Neurospora crassa OR74A: one gene and its partners. The protein of the gene in region 1 interacts with the protein of each later gene in a pairwise test. Links are inferred from orthologs where the notes say so. Each region holds a gene or a part of one and is shown in the gene's direction. Other genes may lie near its edges.

Region 1 (3,541 bases):
TCTCGACTATAATGAACACGGCCAGGGCGCGTTGTCAAAACCAACTGAGCCATCGAAAAAGAAGGTTTGTGTAGGGCGTTCTACATGTCATTAAATCAACGGTCCAATATGCGAGAAATCCTCAAACTGTGACACTTACCGTTACTCTGAGGGGCGCGAGTTCACTAGGACACTGGGCTCAGAGAAGACAGGAGACACGGCAGATAATGAGATAAACAGCAAAATCAGTGAAGAGCAGGATGCGTTTCCTTGTTAGATCCCACTTATTACAAGGCTCAACAAATCCCTTCGAAACGATACATATGATAGTGCTATAGCCTCAAGTTCCAAACTATCTTTATCAGTCCACTGTTCAACAAGAGCTGCAATAAGGACTGGCGGGTGACTTTTTGGCAATGAATTACTACAGTCTGCTAGTACCATAACACGCACTCTACCTACGACAAATATACACTAGATATGGAGGTAAAGTCTAATGTCTCATTAGTGTCCGAGACTTCTTATTCAACTTTTAAATGTTGGAGGTCAATTAGTCCGGCTATCATTTTCTATATTCAACTCGGGAGCCTCAACTAAGCTTAAGCGTCGTTTGATAGGAACTCTCCTCAAGGGATATGGCAAACTGATTCAACATAGGCGCTTGACATGCCCATGAGTTACAGAAGACTGCGGGGAGTTCTAACTTTGAGCTCCAGCTATAGGGCGCAAAGCGCAAACACTGCATTACTCATTCAGGGCGTGTGGCTCAGTTGGTAGAGCGTTCGCTTAGCATGTTTCACAGCATGCGAAAGGTCCTGGGTTCGATTCCCAGCTCGTCCACTCTTTTTGACTCGATGTCTCTTTGCTCCCGCACTTTTCTTGAAATTACTTGGATCTGGATAACAGTATTTCCAATTGCAGTGAGAACCCGTTTTTTTTTTACTTACTGCTACTCTGAAGCTTTAGATAACAAATATACGTGGGATATTATTCCTTTTTGGCTGTCCCACCTTTTCTGTACACTAAGTATAGTGTATCTCGGGTTGCCGGTTGGCTACAGTCGAACCCCCTGAAACTGCATGTAATCCAGACCGCCAAAATCCATGCACTAAATGGCGTATATGCAGTTTCTGGAGGCGGGGCTTGGGCAAAAATGGCGGATTCAGACCTGGAAATTCTATGCACTAACTAGCATATATGCAGAATCTGGAGTATGCAGTTTCAGGGGGTTCGACTGTATTTGATTTTCGGCTCCCAGATATCCTGGTAAACCATGTCATTGCTCCACGCTACATTTGTTACTCCATAAGCTGTTGCGGCCGGCAAGCTCCAGCTACGCCACGGCGCCAGGACAGGCTTCCCGTCGCGGGCGCACTTCCCTTTGGTCACTACATCCAACACGTCAACTTCTCCTTTTGGTCTCCGTCGCAACAACAATAGGCAGCCTAACTAACGGCTGTCGATTTCCAAACTCACTACTATGGTACGTCGAATTCTCATTGCATATAGCGTCACTTCGGTATCCCTCTTGGAAATGTACTAACCTTTTGCTCCCTCGCAACAAACAGCTACCGTTAGGCATCCTCACCGCGGCGCAAGGCCATCCCATGCTCGTTGAGCTCAAGAACGGCGAAACGCTCAACGGCCACTTGATCCAATGCGATACATGGATGAATCTGACGCTAAGGGAGGTTGTTCAGACCAGCCCGGTTAGTGCTACCTCCTACCTCCGTCCCTCCGTCCCTTCGTTCGAGCGATGATGCACAGTGATGATGATGATGATGAGCGAGTGGATGAAACAAGCAATCCAACACGTCGAAGAGAATGTCGGGGACAAGGCAGCTTACCAACGAACTTTACATGACGTAATAGGAAGGCGATAAGTTTGTGAGGTTACCAGAGGTTTACGTCAAGGGAAACAACGTAAGTCTCGACATTGTCCCCTCCCCCTCCTTTTCTCTCTCTTCTTGCCTCTTGCCAGGAAAGGAGTCAACGATCAATCGACCAGCGGTTTCTAATGGTTATGGGGACAAACAGATCAAATATCTTCGAGTACCGGACGACGTGATCGACATTGCAAGGGAGCAGCAACACAGTCAACACGGTGGACACAGAGGCGGCCGCGGCGGCGGACAGAACAGAGGCGATTATGGCGGCCGTGGCGGCCGTGGCGGACGAGGAGGGGGCGACAGAGGTGGTCACAGGGGAGGCCGCGGCCGTGGCAGGGGCGCATGAGGTGGAATTCCATGTTCTTGGGACAGCGAGCGAGGCGCAACGACCACCCAACGTAGGGAAGTACGGCCTTTTGATAATGATACGATCGATGAACGAGAGGCGCGAGGGGCCGCCGCGATTGTGCGTAGGGGTGAGAGGAAAGGGATGGAGAGCATCAGCCAAGAAAGAAACATGGGCTGCATCTTGCACGGTCCGAATGGGCTTTCACACAAAACCCAGGCGGGGTTGAATGGGGCACGAAGACCATCTCCAGCGACAGACATGCATGATGGTTCATGGGCAGTCATCGTGTGGGCTTTTTGGAAGAGGCCTGGCTCGGACACATAGACCGGACTAGGTGTTCGATGCATCAGCATGGAATTTACGGCACGAAGGATATGACTATTTTAAAGCAAAAGATACCCAAGCTTGAAGTTCCTGGTTGATTTTCTCTTGCACCTAACACAAAAGGCACATTGTATCGCATTATCGTCATTTGAGAGATTCTTTTCCGTTATCAACAAGCATTGAAAGGATTACAAAACTGGCGGCGTCCTGAGACCTCCATGTCACACAAAAATGATGCACTTCGCGGGCGACTTGTTGCAGCTTTTGAGGCAACGAAATAATTGCCCATGGCAAGGAAACAGGTGGTACGGAGCGGCTACAACTATGGAAGGAGTTACTCCAAAAAAAAAAAAAAAAAAAAAAAAAAAAAAGAAGAAAAAGAAGAAAGAAGGAAGAAAAAAAAAGAAATTAGAGGAAAAAACTCAAAAGTTGAGGTCGTACCCGGAATCGAACCGGGGTTGCCGGAATGTTCTGAAGGAAATCAGAATCCGGAGTGATAACCGCTACACTATACAACCTTGTGAGTTGTTTTAGTTGATTTGTTCACTCGCCTGATTCTCTTATAATGACCACTACCAGATTCTAGCAAGCCATTGAACTAGTTATATAATCTCCATTCCGATGCTTTTGAGTATTTCAGTAATTCTTCTTTTTTTTTTCTCTTTTTTCTTTTCTTTATCAAGCTGCAGATGCGCTCGATGTTTTGAGATCGCCAGCATCCAAAGCCTCTTCATACGCTGGACGCACGGCGCCCATCATCGTGGTCTCTTCTTGCACTCTTTGATCCGACACAACTGTCTCCTTTGGCATCTCGGCAAGCAACTTCTTGATCTCAATCTCGAGGTCGATCTTCCTCTCCCTGGCCACATCAACAACTGCCCACGCTCTGGGATCCATCTCGTTAAAGCAGCGCTTGAGCAGCTGGACCAAAGTCGGGTGACTGATCCACATGCGCCTCGAAGAATTCCTCGCCAAGGGCGCTAGCTCCATTTGCGCCAGG
Region 2 (4,260 bases), about 670 kb from region 1:
AGTCTGGCACTTTTCTAGACTGTAAATACCCCTGGATACTTTGTTCTGATACTTGGGGACTTGGATATTAGAGGAATGTCTAGCATGGAGATGCTGGTATCTCAAGTGCTGTTCATGTTTCGGCCTCTTTAGAGGTAGTTAGGTGCGAACTAGCCTGTAATGAAAACATCCCAAAAGTGTCGGTATCTACCTACAACATCCTCAGCAACGTCCGCAAGTGGCCTAAATAATATCTACATACCTACCAGAAGCTATCGCATTCCCCGTTCCTGATGGTCGCTTGCGGTGCATTCCCCTGAGCACCTCAATGTTTCCGTCCGGCCAGGACCAAAAGATTGGCCGCGGGGGTAGGCGGCAGGGAAAGACATTAGGGTGCCCTCGGTGCCCCCACAGCTTCGTCGTCACCTGTATCCGCAGGTACCCCATTATTGCGGGCCGTGACGGTTCTAGCGTGGCCCTGTTAGTAAGGGACAAAAACCCCCTTGAGACGGGCGTCGTCAACTTCCAGGGGCACTACCTACCTCTACGACGACTTCAGTTCACATGTCGCATCCGTCAACGGAGGGGTATGTCTTGAGCTTCTTGATCCTTTTACCACGCTGAGAAGTGGCTGATTAGCTCATACTATGATACTTGGGTTAATATGATCTGCTGCCGGCCTGCTCCCTCCGCATTGCTCCTCCGATCGGAGTAGTTCTTCAAGATGGCGAAGAACACCGACTTGAGTGATGGCCATGATACCTCCCTCTCAAAAGAAACAACAGGGAAATACCAGGCCCCTGATATAATTCAAGTTCGACTGCATACTATGTACAGTAAAGTCACCTGTCAAGAAAACAGCCTTAAGATAGCCATGCCATGTTTGCCTCTGTCCATGTCCGCGCTTCCGCTTCACCTGCATCGGAATGGCGAATTCACATACTTAGAAGCACAGTCTAAACAGCTGCGTTTAGTCACGGATGTCACGGCAGCAAAATGGATGCCTGAGCTACTGTCCTTGCCCTTCAGCTTTCTTGCCAAAATCGATATCTCGAGCTTGAAATTTGGTTGTCGGCTTGGCGTTAAATGTTGACCATGAGGTTGCCGTCCCGTCCGGGTCTCATGTTGTAGCCTCCAGTTGATCACTGTTACGCATCACAACTAGCGGGCGGGTATCGCCGATTGGCTCATCGGATAAAACAACTTGCAAGACTGGAAGGATGGAATGGACATTCTTGCCGGCGGTTGAGGATCCCACAGCCCGGCAGGCAATGGGCCTCTGGTTGCCGCCCAACCGTGGCAATCACTCCCCCGGCCGCGGCCTTGGAAGTCCCATCGTCAGTCAACGAACGGCAAGACAGGAGGGTGGTGTGTCAAAGCGTCAGGCCTACCGCCGCCCGCCCACCTGTTGCCAGGCTCCATTGGCCCTCGGGGGCGATTGGTCCACAGCTCCCTGATCTGGCTTCTGAGTTGGAGTTGGCCTGACTTCATCCATCTGCGTCGGTCTCTTGTCGCCTTTTGCGCTGCCATCAAGCTACCACTCCGAGCAACCGCATCCACATCTTCACCGCGGCGCACCCAGTTGCGCTTCCGGTCGTTAGTTCACAGCCTTCTTTGCTTCTCTGTTTTAATATTTCCAAGCCGAGCGCTGAGTATTTGTTGCCGCCCTGACAAGCTCTGCTCCGCTCCTTTGCACGAGTCGCACCGCCGTCGACACGTCTCCTTTCCCTTCACGTCGCGCATCGCAGCATCATGGTGCTTGACCAAACCGATCATACCAACATCTTTACATATCGTTCTGTACGTTGTTCTTTGATTTCTCTACAGCGTGCTTGCAACCTCGGTATGGCAAGGTCATGGGATGAAAGTTGGGCTCCCATGTCCCAATTCTCCATCTTCCATGTCGTTGTTGTTGCCCCGCGCTTCAAGAGACAGCTCACCACCCCCAGCTAGGTGGAACATCCATCGAGTCGCCCCTCTGCTTGGCTCGGGCTGTTTGACCACTGGACCTTCAAGCCCTTCCTGTTTCCCCTTCCACCCAGAACTTCGTGAACCTGCGTCACGGCTGTTCCTTCTTTATACTTCTCGTCCCACTCACCAACCAGGGTCTCGTCTTTTGCTTTGCCCCTCATTTTCCTCTGTGCCCTTGCCAATCAGCCAAAGCTCAACATCGCACCCGGATTTGCGCCGCAACGATCTTTCTTCGCTCAACGTATACTGACCCTACAATAGTGATACCTCTGTAGAAATTTTCCATAAACCCAACAGGCATCGCCAATATGTCTTTCTTCAACTTCGACCAGTCTCGCCATAATACCGCCGCTCCCGGCTTCTCCCAGGCTCACGATCCCTTTGCCAGCCTAGCCAACCGGGACGAGGAAGCCGAAGAGATCGACTTCGAGGACACTTATGACGGCTTGGGTGACCAGCTGGATGAGACCGACGATGCCTTCAATGATGATACTTTTGGCGGCGATACTGGCGAGCCGGGTCCTGTAGGCAAAGACTTTGACTTCTTTGGCCACACCGCCAAGGTCGCGAACGTCATTGAAGAGGAAAATGTTCGTTTCAACCGCCAACAACCAGCTGCCAAGGCTCCCCAGCCTGTCGCGCAGCCATCGGCCTATACGCCCATCGCCGGACCCTCGTACAACTATTTCGCGCAGGCTCCAGTTAGACCTGCCAGGACCGGCTACGAAAAATACCACGAGCAGCCGATCGAGGATCTTCAGGTTGACGCTGCTCTCTGGGGTGTCGCACCCAAGAAGCAACCGCCGCCGCCTGCTCAACCTGCCGTCCCTAGCGCGCCGTCTGGGGGCCGCAAGATGCTGAGTCTTGAGGAGGTTGAGGCTCAGATGCGCGCCCAGGCTAAGGCGGCCACCCCATCTCCCGCTCCTCAGCATCAGCCCCATCAAATTCCACATGAACAGGCTTACCTCTACCAGCACCAAGCTCAGAACCAGCCGCAGGCTCACTTCCAAGCCGGTGTCGTTGAACCTCTGTACCATCAACCGCAGGGACATCCCATGACAATTCTTCAGCGGCCTCACTCGAAGCCTCCTACGCCAGCCCAGCCCTCTTCCCAACCGCCCGCTATTCAACAGCATCAGCAACCCGCTGTTCCTCAGCAGCCTACTCAGATCCTGCAGAACCCCAACCGTCTTTCAGGCGACGCGGCTAAGATCGGGCTGCCTGTTCACCCTACGCCTCCGTCCGGTCCTCAGTCCGCTCACCAGGGCCACAGGCAACAAGGCTCTCTTCCGCGACAGCCCCCTATGATTCTTCATCCTGCCCAGCTGGCTCAGCTCTCGGAGGAGGAAAAGGCTGCGTATCTTGAACAGGAAGCTAAGCGCGCCAAGCGCAACCACAAGATCTTCCAAATGTCTCGCGACAATGGTATCATGACGCCACAGGACAAGAATTTCATCACCCGGATCCAGCTTCAGCAGCTTGTCGCAGCCACTGGAAATCCCAATGAACACGGCACAGACGAGTCACTCGCCGAGGACTTTTACTATCAAGTCCATAGTCAGATCCAGGCTGGCCATCGCCAGCACCCCAGCCAGCCTCTGAACCAGTTCGCTCAGACTTATCTGTTTCAGACAGGAAGCCGTCAAGGAGGTATGCGCCGCCATAACAGGGGTCCTGAAAACCATATGCAGAGGATGGAACAACAGGTCCAGCGTGCTGTTGAGGCGGCCAAGAACAAGCCCAAGAATAAGCAGCTTGTTATTGAAGGTAGCTTGGGCAAGATTTCCTTCAGCAACGCCAAGACCCCGAAGCCGCTTCTCAACATCAAGCGTAACGACAGCGCCAGCGATGTGAAGAAGGCACCGCATCCTGTTAATGGCCGGGACAAGAAGGACGAACTGAGGGCCCTCGAGCTGGTATACACTACACTTATGAAGATGGAAGACCACGAACGCAACATGCCTATGGCGCCTGCCGAGGACGATCAAGAAGCTCTTGCCAAGGTCTTTGCATGGAGTAACGAGGGACAGGCGTTGAATGAGCAGCTTTGGAAGGCTCTGAGGGTGCAGGATCACGACCAGCCAGGCCGCATCCACCCCTTCATGGCCCTTCTCAGTTACAGTAAGGGCAAGAAAGCCATACCGCGCATCTTCCGTCACACGAACCACGAGCAAAGAATTACCATTTTCACACGCATTGTCGTGAATCTCGACCAACTCGACGTTGTCCGAGAAGCTCAGGTTACAACTGATGACATCCAGTTCAACGCCGCTATGCGTGAAAACATTGAGCTGTTCTCGGCTGCTATAG
Region 3 (4,223 bases), on another chromosome or scaffold:
TCTAGATTGATATTTTGTTAATACTTCCTTAAACCCGATGAAGAATATTAAAGAGGTTAGAAATTGGACTTTAAAAGATAGTTGTGGCTAGTATAGAATGCCTTCGCCTGGGTTCGAATTCCCAATAGAATACCTCGATAAGTTTTATCTCTCTAGGGAGGAATAGTTCCAGAGGATGTTCGTTGCTAATGGTTAGTATAAGTAAAGCTTGTAATTATATGCGTATTGGGCTATAGTACCCCTCGATCTTCCTTAGGTTATTTTTTTTTTCTTTTTTTTTTTTTTCTTTTTTTATATTATTATCCTTAGGTTATTATTTACAACTAGTTTCATGTGTTGTCTTTATTTAGAGCCGGAATTAAAGTTTTTTATTTTTTTTTCGTTATACTTTCTTATTGTTATATTTATATTAAGGAATATATATTTTATACTATTATATCGAAATAGTCCTAAAGGAGGCGTATTTGGGGTAGCCTGAGGTGAATATTCTTATTGGCTACCTATACGGTACCCGTACTCTAATTTTCTTATATACCTAGGTTAGAGTTTTAATTTACAATTATTAGAAAGGGAATAATAGGAATTACTTCTATAAAGAATACCCGCCACTTAGGTAGCTTAGATAAGTAATTTAATATAGCGCTTTCTCCCCTACTACCTACCTCTATCAATATAAGTGTAATATTGATTGAAAATTGCTGTGAAATAATTGTAAGGCTTTTGTTACTTAGAATAGATATTAATTGTTGAATAAATAAATATAATTAAACAATTATTATATTAATAAGAATATTAGCTTGCAATTAGCAATTTAAGTGAGTATATTTATTATGTTGTATATTTTGTAGTTCGGGTCGTATTGTTGTGGTACAGTTCGCTGTTGTCGTACTTTTGTGCGCTGTTGAACGGTTAATTCCGTTTTGTATACAATACCGCGTTAATAGTCGTTGTACTATTAATTAAAACTACGTATTGTAAAATAAAACCAACTTCAATACAACAATATTCAATTATCTAGTAGATTACAGTAAGAAACAATATTGTGTAAGGATGTTGTAGCCCACAACCCCTGCTCAAGCGTTTTATACTATAAAGGCCTGCTACGCCCACTTTTGTCAGACCCCCCATTCCCTCCAGGGCAGTTCCGTTCCGCTCGTCGAGGGCGGAGGCTCGCTTGAGGTTCGTTACCTTGAGGTTCAGTAGTAGCTGGTGCGGGGAGAGAGCTGACAGTGACAGCCGGGAGCCTGATGAGGTGGCGGAGCGCTCACTACTGGCCTGGCCTGGCCGGGCCGAGCGCTAGTACCTAGCTCTAGAGGTACCTCTACCTCTACGACCGACGCTCACGCCGCCCCCAGGCACACAGTCAACCCGCGTGGGGCAACGGAGGCCAACTAGAAACTGCAGTGTGTCACAGCCTGAACACCTAGCCAGCCCGGAGCCCAGGACCCGACACCTTCTCCGTCCCATCCACACCTCTGACGGACCTTCCACTTTTGTTTCTCTTGCGGTTCCATCTCGTAGACATCACCCACTTCTTCCTTTACCTCCGTCTATCTCGAACATAGGCCGCCAACGTCCTAGGCCACTCCTCGGATTCTCAACCTTTCCGCTTTTCTTAGCACTATAGTAGCTTCTTTTCCCGATTGGCGCTGTCGGTTGCTCCAAGGACACTCCTCTTCTTCCCTTCCATAGACAGCATCTTCAGTCTTGGACCTTGCTGCTTCGTCCCCCCTCGGTTTATTGCACCATTGCGATCCCTGGAGGCTTCGCTATCTAGAAACCCGGCCATTATTATTCAGTGCCGGCATTTGAACGACCAGCTTGACGCCTCTCCTTCGCCCCCTGACAGCAGTAACTAAGTAGACTCCCCGTCTGCGACATCTCCTGCGACCGCTCAGCGCGCCCCAATTTCAGACCTCCTTCGCAAACTTCTAGTAGTGTACACATCTAGTCCGGCACCACAGGCCACTTAGTCAACATGGGGTATATGACTCCCACATCAAAGCTCCTCCCTCGCCGTATACGCGCGCGTTGTTCAGGCGTGTGGCTAATACCCCCTCTTGTCCAGTGTTCCCAAGTTCTTCAGATGGCTCTCGGAGCGGTATCCCGCCATTTCTCAGCTCATCGCCGAGAACCGTATCCCCGAGTTCGACTGCCTTTATGTTCGCTGCTCCCTCCCGAGGCCTGATGGCTGTCTTGCGTTACTTGCCTAGCTAACCGGTTTGCTCAGTTGGACATGAACGGTATCATCCACAACTGTACCCATAAGGACACGAGCGATGTACAATTTCGCATGACAGAGGAGGAGATGTTCATTGCTATATTCAACTACATCGAACATCTCTTCGGGAAAATCAAGCCCAAAAAGCTTTTCTTTATGGCTATAGATGGCGTTGCCCCTCGCGCAAAGATGAACCAACAGCGTGCTCGTCGTTTTCGTACCGCGCTGGACAATGAGAAGGCTAGAGATAAGGCGATTCGTGAGGGCAAGGAATTGCCCAAAGAAGAACCTTTCGACAGTAACTGCATCACACCTGGTATGTCTGGCGCTGGTGCCCGCTTGAATGTTTTCCCCGGAGGCTAACTAGCTGCATAGGAACCGAATTCATGGCCAAGCTCTCGCAACAGCTGAGATATTTCATCCATAAAAAGGTCTCGGAAGACAGGGACTGGCAACAGCCCGAGATTGTCTTGTCTGGACACGAGGTCCCTGGTGAGGGTGAGCACAAGATCATGGAGTACATCCGCAATGCGCGCGCTCAACTCGACTATGACGCGAACGTCCGTCACTGTTTGTATGGCCTCGACGCCGATCTGATCATGCTTGGCCTCCTCAGCCATGACCCTCACTTCTGCCTTCTGCGCGAGGAAGTTACCTTTGGCCGCGGCCCGTCTAAGCATAAGGCAAAGGGACTGGAGGAGCAAAACTTCTATTTGATGCATCTCTGCATAGTCCGCGAGTACCTGGAGCTGGAGTTCCAGGATCTCAAGAAACCTGGAGCCATGTCTTTTCCATTCGATATGGAAAAAGTTATTGACGACTTCATTCTTATGGCATTCTTTGTCGGAAACGACTTCCTTCCCAACCTTCCGCGGCTTCACATCAATGAAGGCGCTCTTTCGCTCATGTTTAGGATCTACAAAGAAATTCTTCCGCGCGGCGACGGATATATCAACGAGGGCGGTAAGGTCAACCTCCAGAGACTCGGCCTGCTTCTGGAAGAACTCGGCAAGGAGGAGTATCGCTTTTTCGAACATGAACATGAGGATCAAAGCTGGCTTCGGGCCAAGAAGATGCTTGAAGATAACGAGGCAGAGACAGCAAAGGCAAAGACCAAGGGCAAGCTCATCGTCACCACGAACCAGAAGAATCTCTGGAAGCAGAAGATCAGGAAATTCCTTATGAATAGGAGCACTAATACGCTTGACCTCGGTACCGAGTTGAAGGCCGAGGACCGCAAGTTTGTCCAAGACTTGGCTGATACTGCTCACATTCCTTGGGCAACTAAGGAAGATGACGAGGGACACCGCCACCTAATCCTGTCCTTCCCCGAGAGAGACGACGAGTCGGAAGAGGACGAGGAAGCCCAGTCAGCCGTTCTCCGTATCATCAAGAAGTACGACAACGCCCAAGTCCTGGATTTAACTGCGGCCGACTCGAAGGCTGCCATGGAGGTTAAATACCAGCAAAAGTTCCAAGAGTGGAAAGACAAGTACTATGCCGAGAAGTTTGAGGATTGGACCCCAGAGAACAAGGAGGACGAACTCCGCAAGTTGACGGAGAATTACGTCCAGGGTCTTCAATGGGTGCTCTACTACTACTACCGTGGTATTGCTTCTTGGCCCTGGTTCTATCGCTACCACTACGCTCCCCTGATTTCCGATGTCATGAAAGGCCTGAAAGCCGACCTTAATTTCAAGATGGGTCAGCCGTTCAAGCCATACGAGCAGCTGATGGGTGTCTTGCCAGACCGCAGCAAAAAGATCGTGCCGACAGCATATTGGGATCTTATGACAAACCCCAATTCTCCCATCATCGACTTCTACCCAAGAGACTTTGAGCTTGACATGAATGGCAAGAAGATGGATTGGGAAGCCGTTGTCAAGATTCCCTTCATTGACGAGAAGCGGCTGCTTGCAGCAATGGGCCCCAAGAACGAACTTCTCTCGGACGTTGAGAAGTCGAGGAACGATTTTGGCGTCGCACTCAAGTTCACTTATTC
Region 4 (3,725 bases), on another chromosome or scaffold:
GTGAAGGTAGTGGGTGGCAATGCCGGCGTAGTAGACCTGGACACCCTTCAGCAGGGCGCTGGTGAGACCGAGGTAGGGGCCGACCTGGCCAGGCATCCTGGGGAGGAAGAAAGAGGCGCCGACGTCGGGGAAGAAGCCAATCTTGGTCTCGGGCATGGCGAAGACAGTGCGCTCGGTCGCAATTCTGAAGGGGGCGTGGATGCTGAGACCAACACCACCTCCCATGGTAATGCCGTCGAGGAAAGCCACGTAAGGCCTGGTGTAGGTGGAAATCAGGTGGTTGAGCTTGTATTCGAGGCCGAAATAGTCGACGGATTTCTTGACGCCCTCGGGGCCCTCGGCGTTCTGCTTGGCCAGCGCGGCAACATCACCACCGGCGCAGAAGGCCTTCTCTCCGGAGCCCTTGATGACGATGACGTTGGCCATATCGGAGCGTTCCCATTCGAGGAGACGGGGCGCGATCTTGCGGATCATGGAGCCATTGAGGGCGTTGTACTTGGCTGGGCGGTTGAGCTCGACGGAGCGGAGATTATATAGACTGTTGAAGAGGACATCCTCGGGCTCGTCACCCTCGACGGGCTTGAACAACTCGGCGGCGGCTTGGGTCGAGATCTGGGAGGAGGGGGCGGCGAGCGTGTTAGCTGTGTCCGTGTCCATGGCTTTTGTCTTCCCAAGGAGCGTCTTACTGGGGCCTGCTGGCCCAGGACTTTGGCTCTGAGCGGCATCGCGGTGAAGCTTGGTCGGCAGCTGCGAGAAGCAACAGCAGAAGCCAAGCCGGCGCGGCTGGCAATGGACTTGGAGACCAACATCGATGTACACTTCGGTAATTGGCTGGCTGGCTGGCTTTGTCTAGAATAGGAATGGAATAACAAGACCCAGGGTCAATATGGAAGAAAAATACTAAGTCCAAAATCCACCCCGAGGCTGTTTAGCACCGTTGTTGCATCATAGACCGGCCAAGGGACTCGGGCACTTTTTTTCGGGACTCGTTTTCCTGGGCTGGGAAAGGGAAAACGGGAGAACAATCACCAATGATCTGAATGCCGCGTGGATGCAGGAACCGTGATAAGTGATAGCGAGAGTATCTGCAAATCCACTTTTTGCTGGAATTCAACGCGAAATGGAGCTCCAGCTTCAATTGATTTTCAAGGGCACCGCGCCTGGCAATCCCCGGGGCGGGGTTAGGTACGGGGGAGCTAATACATAGTGTAGAGGTAGCTGTGGAACCTGCCGAATCCCCGCCGCTATCGCTAGAAGCTGGAATATCCTCCGGCCGATGATACCTCTATCCATTCAAACTTGTCATTTTCCAGAAGCGACGCTCGGGCCCTCCGCTCACTGGAAACCCGATGTCCCGGCTGTCCGGGGGAGCATGTCGGGTTCGGCGGGGCTGGCAGCACCTGTCACCGGAGCGGTCCTCAGCCTTTCGCATTGGGATCCACCGTGAGCTTGTCATCCAATCGCCAAACTTTGAAGACGGTTCTGTTCCCAGAAAAGCTTGGCGCGTGTGCTGTAGCTGCTCCACGCTCCGAGTCGCCGCCGCGCCTGGCCCTCCGCTGCTGCAACATTTCCCGTCGTGGATTGAAGATAGCGATAGCATCCATTACAGCAACTATTGTCCAGGCTTCTACCGTACACCACCAACCCATACCACGCGAAGCAACCACTCGACGTCAACAACCATTTTTGATACAAAGACAAAACTACAACTCATTTGCCCCTCCTACATTTCAGTACCACTCCAATTCAACTCTAGACCAAAACACCATCGTCATGGCTTCAGCGGATGCAAAGATTCAGTCAGTAGCTATCCCACTCTCCAGCATCAACCCATGTGCGCGGGCAGCCCATGGACGCTTCAAGGAAACCAACTTGACTAACAACTGTCTACTATACAGGGAGCTTCTCACGAAGCCGCGCAATGAGCTTACGTACGTTATATCCTCTTGTCAACATCACCTCCCTCTGTTACCATCGTCATCTCGCCCGCCCTGCTGCTCCCAGCTCCTCCTCTTTGCGACCCAAGACCACGACGCCCGCCCAGCCAAATCACAAAGCTAACCAACTCGTCTGATACAGTGAATACGAAGTTTCTCTCCTCGAAGAGCACGAGTTCTCCGCCGGTCCTCTGGTACATATGCCCCATAAGCCTTGATCTACCACCCCTTCGACACGGAGCAGCGACTAATATGACACCCTTTTTGGCAGTCCATCCTCCAGACCGCCGTCCGCAGCCACTCCCAAGTCCTCATTTCCGTCCGCAATGGGCGCAAGATCCTTGCGCGCGTCAAGGCTTTCGATCGCCACATGAACATGGTGCTGGAGAACGTCAAGGAGATGTGGACCGAGACGCCCCGACTGGCCAATGGCAAGAAGGGCAAGCCCGTAAACAAGGACAGGTTTATCAGCAAGATGTTTGTGCACTTCCTTTTCATCTGTTGTTTCTCTCGCCCAGGAGAAGCGAAGATCAATGGCTGACATGTTTCACTTTCCTGGCAGGTTCCTGAGAGGCGACTCCGTCATCCTTGTCCTCCTCAGCTAGTTCACGAATAGCACGGCAAAATGTATAGGTTGGAGGTTTATTTCACTTGCACGGCGAAGACACGCGCCAGCACAACTTAGGGTTAATGGCTCGAATGGAGTGGGGATGAGCCCGGGAAGGGTACCTATTGTTGGTCGACTGAATCGAGAGACATGCGGACTATATCACCTTACTACTACTCAACCGCTCGATCGACCATGATGACGACACAACCACGAAAGCAATTCAAAACGCCCCGTGAAAAGGCGCCGCGCAGGAACGAGAGGAAAGAAGAGAAACCCAAGCAGATTTTCAGGGGCTATTAGGAAGGTCATACAAAGGGAAAACTAGTGTGAGCTCGGCGTTCAAACGTGTATTTGGTTTTGTTTAACTTTTTATCTTTCATTTCTGGTAACTTGATCGAACAGAATACCCAGACCGTGTTTAGGTTTTCGCAGACGCGGTCATGTTTTCTCGTGCTTTTTAACGACAAGCAACGGGATGATTTGTATTGGTGTTCCTGGTACGTCATTGAAATGGTGGTGCAAACTAACTACCTAGGGGTATATCGAGATCACATACAGCACCAATTCTTACGGCAATTCCGCCTCTCTTGTAACCTCCTCCCATCCATCATCCGATCCCTTGGCCTGCTTAGCACTGGAATCATCAGCCTTTTCAATTCCAGCCAGTCCAAGGAAGAACTTGGCCAATCCCCAAGCGCCCGGATCCGGCACCTGCTCGAATCCGGACCCGCCAATGTAGACGGTGCGGCCCAACTTGGCCTTCATACCCTTGGTGCCCTCAGCTCCCTGCTTGGCAGCCTCGGCCGCCTTCTTCACATCACCGGTCTTTTCGAGCGCATCGACAAAGGGATAGAGGGCATCAACCAGGGTGCGGTCACCGGGACGAGCGGGCGTGTACTTGGACAGGGCCTCACAGCTCAGTTTGAGGGCTGCGGCCCAGGCATTTTCATCAGCAGCTTTCTTGTCCGACTCCCCTCCACCGACAGTGTGGAGAGAGGCGACCAGAGCGTTGAGGAAGATGCCGTAGAGAGCACCCGAGGTACCGTCCATGGTTTGCTCGACCACGGTGACGATCTTGGCGAGGTCAATGGCTGCATCGCCTGTTAGGGGGTTGGAGTCGAGATGCGACAAGATTGCTGGCATTCTGTTAGCTATCAGGGGGAAAAGGGGTTGTTGTT
Region 5 (4,387 bases), on another chromosome or scaffold:
GGTACAGTGGGGCGCCAAAAAAAACGAACGTTTCTTTTTTACCCGCAAAAAGGGCCAAAACTCAACTTCTTCTACTCTTAATTTCTCAACGTGGTTTATTGCAAAACTCACTCCACGTTCTAAATAGAGATAACTTTAAGAGGAGATACTAATGCAAGTTGTCCGAAAAGATACACTCGAACGGGGGGCAAAAGCGTAAGTACTAAAGTCACTTTCCGAAAAGTATCTCAGATTCTATCCACTATAATGCACTCTAAATGCACTATAACCAAAAATCCTTTTCAAACTCTCATTTGAACAATTGTGATTACACTACTAAACCAATGAAGTCAATTTCATTTATATATCTGGGGAGTATAACTATTTAACTCTGTCCTCCTTTAGTGCATCTGCTTTTGAAAGGTAGTTGGCATGAAAACTAGGGAGTGATAGAGTTGAGTTTTGGCCCTTTTTGCGGGTAAAAAAGAAACGTGTTTTATTTTTGGTCCGGGACTGTACCCTTAAGGGGGGGCTAGCCTTTTTACAGTAAAGCTGGCGCCCAACTGCAAGCCATCTGCAAGCCCACTGTAGCCTCTGGGCGCTCAGAGTGGGTATGTGAACGTGGCTACACCTGGCACAAGGTGTGTGCAGGAGGCTGTCAGCTGTAGGGCGCTCGCTTACAAACCTAGATCGGGTAAGGTGGCCCGCCGAGCCCGCTAAAGGGGGAGCTAAGGGGTATCCAAATCGAATTGAAAAAAGCGGTACTACTAGACTTAGTCGAATGTACCTCTCTGTAGGTACCTATGTACATACTTGACACTGGGCACGCAAGACGGCAGTGAAGAGACGGGCATGATGTACACATTCATGGATCTGACCGTGCTGGAAAATATCGAACTGTTTTCCAATTGTCAAACTTTTTGTCAACTTTGATCATTACTTTGTCCAATTTCGGCTACCTACGTAACAAAGCCCAGAAGGACGTCCATGGACGGGATGTCGCCCGCGATATCCCACCAGTGCGCCGGATGACGTCGATATATACAATGTAGAGGTACGCTAGGTACACTGGGCCACCACCAGAACTACTATGCAGTGTACACTACCCAGGCCAACAGAGAGGAGGCACAGGCAGCGGTCATAGTGTAGGTACACTAGTAGAGGTATAAACCGAATTGCCCCTGAAGTGGGACTGGAAGGCGATGCCGCGGCCGACTTGTGGCCTATGAGTGGCGCCCCCCGCCGCCTTCCATTATGAGACGAGATACACTACACTACGCAGGTATGGAAATGGAGGTCCCGTTCGGTCCCGTCGTGGTGGACACGCTGCTGATTGTGCGATACACAACTGGACTGGAAGGCGCAGGCAGGGTTCGGCAGGGAACATCAAGGGAACACGTGATCCGAGACCCTTTCGGCAGTGGAGTGAACAGTTTTGACGAGGAGAGGAGACTGGACCTGGGACCTGGACGCTCCGGCTCCTTCGTCCACTCACTCGCCCAGTCCTAAACAGCACTGAATCATTCACGACTTCCGCACCGCCTCGCCTCGTCCAAGCTTCGGAAGTTTCCCTCAAACTCTCTGCCTTTCTGCCCCGCTTTCAGACGACGACCACCACCACCACCACAACAACGACAACACTTCAATCACAACAGAACAGAAACACTTTGAGCTCGCTGCAAAGCACCATCTCGTCCCACTCTCCCAACGGCATCGCACACGTCGCTTTGATTCGCCCTTCAGTTTTCACAGGCCAATCAAGTCCCAGCCGTCGACCCCGAATCGGATTCCTCGCAGCCTCTCCCACAAAAGACGTCGCTTGACTTCGAGGCATACAGGCAAAATCAAACGACTGAGAACGTCCTTGGTGCTCCCACACGCAACGAGCCTCCTCGCGACCCCATCCCCATCCACCGCCGTCTCATCTTTGCCCCACGACCGCTCGCGACAGGCCTCCGCCTCCGCCTACAAAGCTACATCTGTCTGGCTCTGCTCACCGTCAACAGACCGAAAAACAAAAGAGAAAGAGGGGATTCCCACCCACAACTAGTGCTCCTCTCCCCTTGTCAACCACTTGTCCATTTCGCTACACACACCCGGAGACGAAGCCATCGCGCTCTACGCTCTCCTTTCTGCAACATCTGAGCCTCGACCACGGGTTCCACAACCGAACAACGACCATCCGGCAAAATGTCCGACCAACTAGCGGATCAGTTGAAAGCTACTAGTCTGAGGTAGGTTGACCGCCTTCCCTTCTGTCCCAAACCCAGCTGACATGTTTTTGATAGCTCAGGCCCGGAAGACTGGAAAAAGGGACTTAACCTACCTGCCAGGGACACAAGACAACAGACCGAGGATGTTACAAACACGAGGGGTCTGGATTGGGAAGACTTCATACACGACAGGGATCTCTTGATGGGCATTTTCGAGGCTGGCTTCGAGAAACCGTCCCCGATTCAGGAAGAAGCGATCCCCGTTGCCCTCACCGGCCGAGACATCCTCGCACGCGCAAAGAACGGCACCGGCAAGACCGCCGCTTTCGTCATTCCCGCCCTCAACAAGATCAACCCTAAGGTCTCCAAGATCCAATGCCTTATTCTCGTTCCCACCCGTGAGCTTGCCATGCAGACATCCCAAGTCTGCAAGACGCTCGGCAAGCATCTCGGCATCAACGTCATGGTGACAACCGGCGGAACTGGCCTGCGGGACGACATTGTGCGTCTGCAGGACCCCGTACACATCGTCGTCGGAACACCAGGTCGTATCCTCGATCTAGCTGGCAAGCAGGTGGCCGATCTCAGCGAGTGCCCAATGTTCATTATGGACGAGGCTGATAAGCTCCTGTCGCAAGAGTTTACCCCCGTCATTGAGCAGCTCCTGCAGTTCCACCCCAAGGATCGTCAGGTCATGCTGTTCTCCGCCACTTTCCCTCTTTCGGTCAAGGATTTCTCGGACAAGAACATGACTAGCCCGTACGAGATCAACCTCATGGACGAGCTTACGCTCCGCGGTATCACTCAATACTATGCCTTTGTTGAGGAGAAGCAAAAGGTTCACTGCCTCAACACTCTGTTTTCCAAGCTGCAGATCAACCAGTCCATCATTTTCTGCAACTCTACCAACCGCGTCGAACTGCTTGCCAAAAAGATCACTGAGCTTGGATACTCGTGCTTCTACAGTCATGCCAAAATGGCTCAGCAGGCGAGAAACCGTGTCTTCCACGACTTCCGCAACGGTGTTTGCCGCAACCTGGTCTGCTCGGATCTCCTCACCCGCGGTATTGACATTCAGGCAGTGAACGTTGTCATCAACTTCGATTTCCCCAAGAACGCCGAGACGTACCTCCACCGTATTGGTCGTTCTGGTCGTTATGGTCACCTTGGTCTTGCTATTAACTTGATCAATTGGGATGACAGATTCAACCTTTACAACATTGAGCGCGATCTTGGTACAGAGATCCAGCCCATTCCTCAGACCATTGACAAGAGCCTCTACGTGTACGAGAACCCTGAATCGATTCCCCGGCCCATCTCGACCTTCAAGCCTATTGCCCAGCAGCCGCAACAGCAATTGCAGCAATCGCAAAGGCCTCAACAGTCTCAACAGCAACAGCATTTCTCAACACAGACACAGCCGTCAAACCAGCTCCCGCCTCAACAGGGCAACCAACAACTTGGCTTCAATCCTCAAGCTCAACAGCCTCACAGACCCATCCCCCAGGCCCAGGGTGATTGGCAAGGGCAAAACGGTCGCCAAAATGGCACAGGTGCTTCCAACAACCAACCCAGACCCACCAACTACCAGAACAATCGCGGGCAGCCCGGTAGCAGCCGCGGAGGTCGTGGACGTGGTTTCCAGGGCCAGGGAGGCCGTCAGAACCAGAACTACGGTGGTCAGCGCGGTCCTCGTACCCAAGGTCAGGGCCAGCCTCAGGGTCCACTGTCTGCCCAGTAGGGTAAACTCTCCCAACAAGTTTTGGAAGGAGGGGGATATGTGGTAATGTGAGGAGGTGTGCGACCATGCATCGCTTCCACGTTGTTTTGTCTTTGAATTGTACATATTAGTCGTCCTTTTTTTTCGGCCATCTCTTTCTGTTCCTCCCGAACTGTGAATGGGCTACCATGACGGCAAGTGTTGTCCCTCGGCCTGTCAGGTTTGCGTTTACGCTACGGCAGACTCGTCTATCACACTCTTTCTGCCGACCCTGCAAACAGTTCAACGACATGCACGGAACTGTACTACGACACATTCTCTTTTGGAGTTTGCCCCATTTCAAGGATTTTTCGATACGGTCCAGCTTCATCCTGTTCGCATTCACGGCTTACAACGCTTCGGCATGGGCGCGGAGTCTTGGGTGGTGTGGGGTTTATACGTCTTTGTTGGCTTCATGGCGGAAGCGGCTTTATAC

Evidence for each region.
Region 2: the proteins of NCU07683 (region 1) and NCU06540 interact in binary tests that used the Saccharomyces cerevisiae proteins (3 or more experiments, as listed by UniProt). The link is inferred for Neurospora crassa OR74A from reciprocal best matches to the Saccharomyces cerevisiae genes LSM4 and PAT1.
Region 3: the proteins of NCU07683 (region 1) and NCU06678 interact in binary tests that used the Saccharomyces cerevisiae proteins (3 or more experiments, as listed by UniProt). The link is inferred for Neurospora crassa OR74A from reciprocal best matches to the Saccharomyces cerevisiae genes LSM4 and XRN1.
Region 4: the proteins of NCU07683 (region 1) and NCU03778 interact in binary tests that used the Saccharomyces cerevisiae proteins (3 or more experiments, as listed by UniProt). The link is inferred for Neurospora crassa OR74A from reciprocal best matches to the Saccharomyces cerevisiae genes LSM4 and SMD2.
Region 5: the proteins of NCU07683 (region 1) and NCU06149 interact in binary tests that used the Saccharomyces cerevisiae proteins (3 or more experiments, as listed by UniProt). The link is inferred for Neurospora crassa OR74A from reciprocal best matches to the Saccharomyces cerevisiae genes LSM4 and DHH1.

The regions. Positions count from the first base shown.
Region 1 is NC_026504.1:2,247,420-2,250,960, reverse strand, and holds NCU07683 (small nuclear ribonucleoprotein), read left to right. Parts: upstream 1-1,268; 5' UTR 1,269-1,459; coding exon 1,460-1,462; intron 1,463-1,547; coding exon 1,548-1,688; intron 1,689-1,851; coding exon 1,852-1,902; intron 1,903-2,016; coding exon 2,017-2,214; 3' UTR 2,215-2,803; downstream 2,804-3,541. Other genes in the region: NCU07684 (hypothetical protein), read right to left, coding at 3,220-3,541. UniProt on the Saccharomyces cerevisiae protein: Component of LSm protein complexes, which are involved in RNA processing and may function in a chaperone-like manner. Component of the cytoplasmic LSM1-LSM7 complex which is involved in mRNA degradation by activating the decapping step.
Region 2 is NC_026504.1:1,578,061-1,582,320, reverse strand, and holds the start of NCU06540 (topisomerase II associated protein), read left to right. Parts: upstream 1-1,422; 5' UTR 1,423-1,779; intron 1,780-2,211; 5' UTR 2,212-2,258; coding exon 2,259-4,260. UniProt on the Saccharomyces cerevisiae protein: Activator of decapping that functions as a general and active mechanism of translational repression and required for P-body formation. First decay factor recruited to mRNA, at a time when the mRNA is still associated with translation factors.
Region 3 is NC_026505.1:4,232,163-4,236,385, reverse strand, and holds the start of NCU06678 (exonuclease Kem1), read left to right. Parts: upstream 1-1,413; 5' UTR 1,414-1,978; coding exon 1,979-1,983; intron 1,984-2,068; coding exon 2,069-2,162; intron 2,163-2,230; coding exon 2,231-2,537; intron 2,538-2,596; coding exon 2,597-4,223. UniProt on the Saccharomyces cerevisiae protein: Multifunctional protein that exhibits several independent functions at different levels of the cellular processes. 5'-3' exonuclease component of the nonsense-mediated mRNA decay (NMD) which is a highly conserved mRNA degradation pathway, an RNA surveillance system whose role is to identify and rid cells of mRNA with premature termination codons and thus prevents accumulation of potentially harmful truncated proteins.
Region 4 is NC_026505.1:2,382,372-2,386,096, forward strand, and holds NCU03778 (small nuclear ribonucleoprotein Sm D2), read left to right. Parts: upstream 1-1,561; 5' UTR 1,562-1,773; coding exon 1,774-1,799; intron 1,800-1,898; coding exon 1,899-1,931; intron 1,932-2,079; coding exon 2,080-2,131; intron 2,132-2,208; coding exon 2,209-2,414; intron 2,415-2,499; coding exon 2,500-2,542; 3' UTR 2,543-3,031; downstream 3,032-3,725. Other genes in the region: NCU03777 (mitochondrial 3-hydroxyisobutyryl-CoA hydrolase), read right to left, coding at 1-612, 687-809; dak-1 (dihydroxyacetone kinase 1), read right to left, coding at 3,115-3,683. UniProt on the Saccharomyces cerevisiae protein: Plays a role in pre-mRNA splicing as a core component of the spliceosomal U1, U2, U4 and U5 small nuclear ribonucleoproteins (snRNPs), the building blocks of the spliceosome.
Region 5 is NC_026507.1:1,628,955-1,633,341, forward strand, and holds the start of NCU06149 (ATP-dependent RNA helicase dhh-1), read left to right. Parts: upstream 1-1,460; 5' UTR 1,461-2,169; coding exon 2,170-2,213; intron 2,214-2,267; coding exon 2,268-3,933; 3' UTR 3,934-4,387. UniProt on the Saccharomyces cerevisiae protein: ATP-dependent RNA helicase involved in mRNA turnover, and more specifically in mRNA decapping by activating the decapping enzyme DCP1.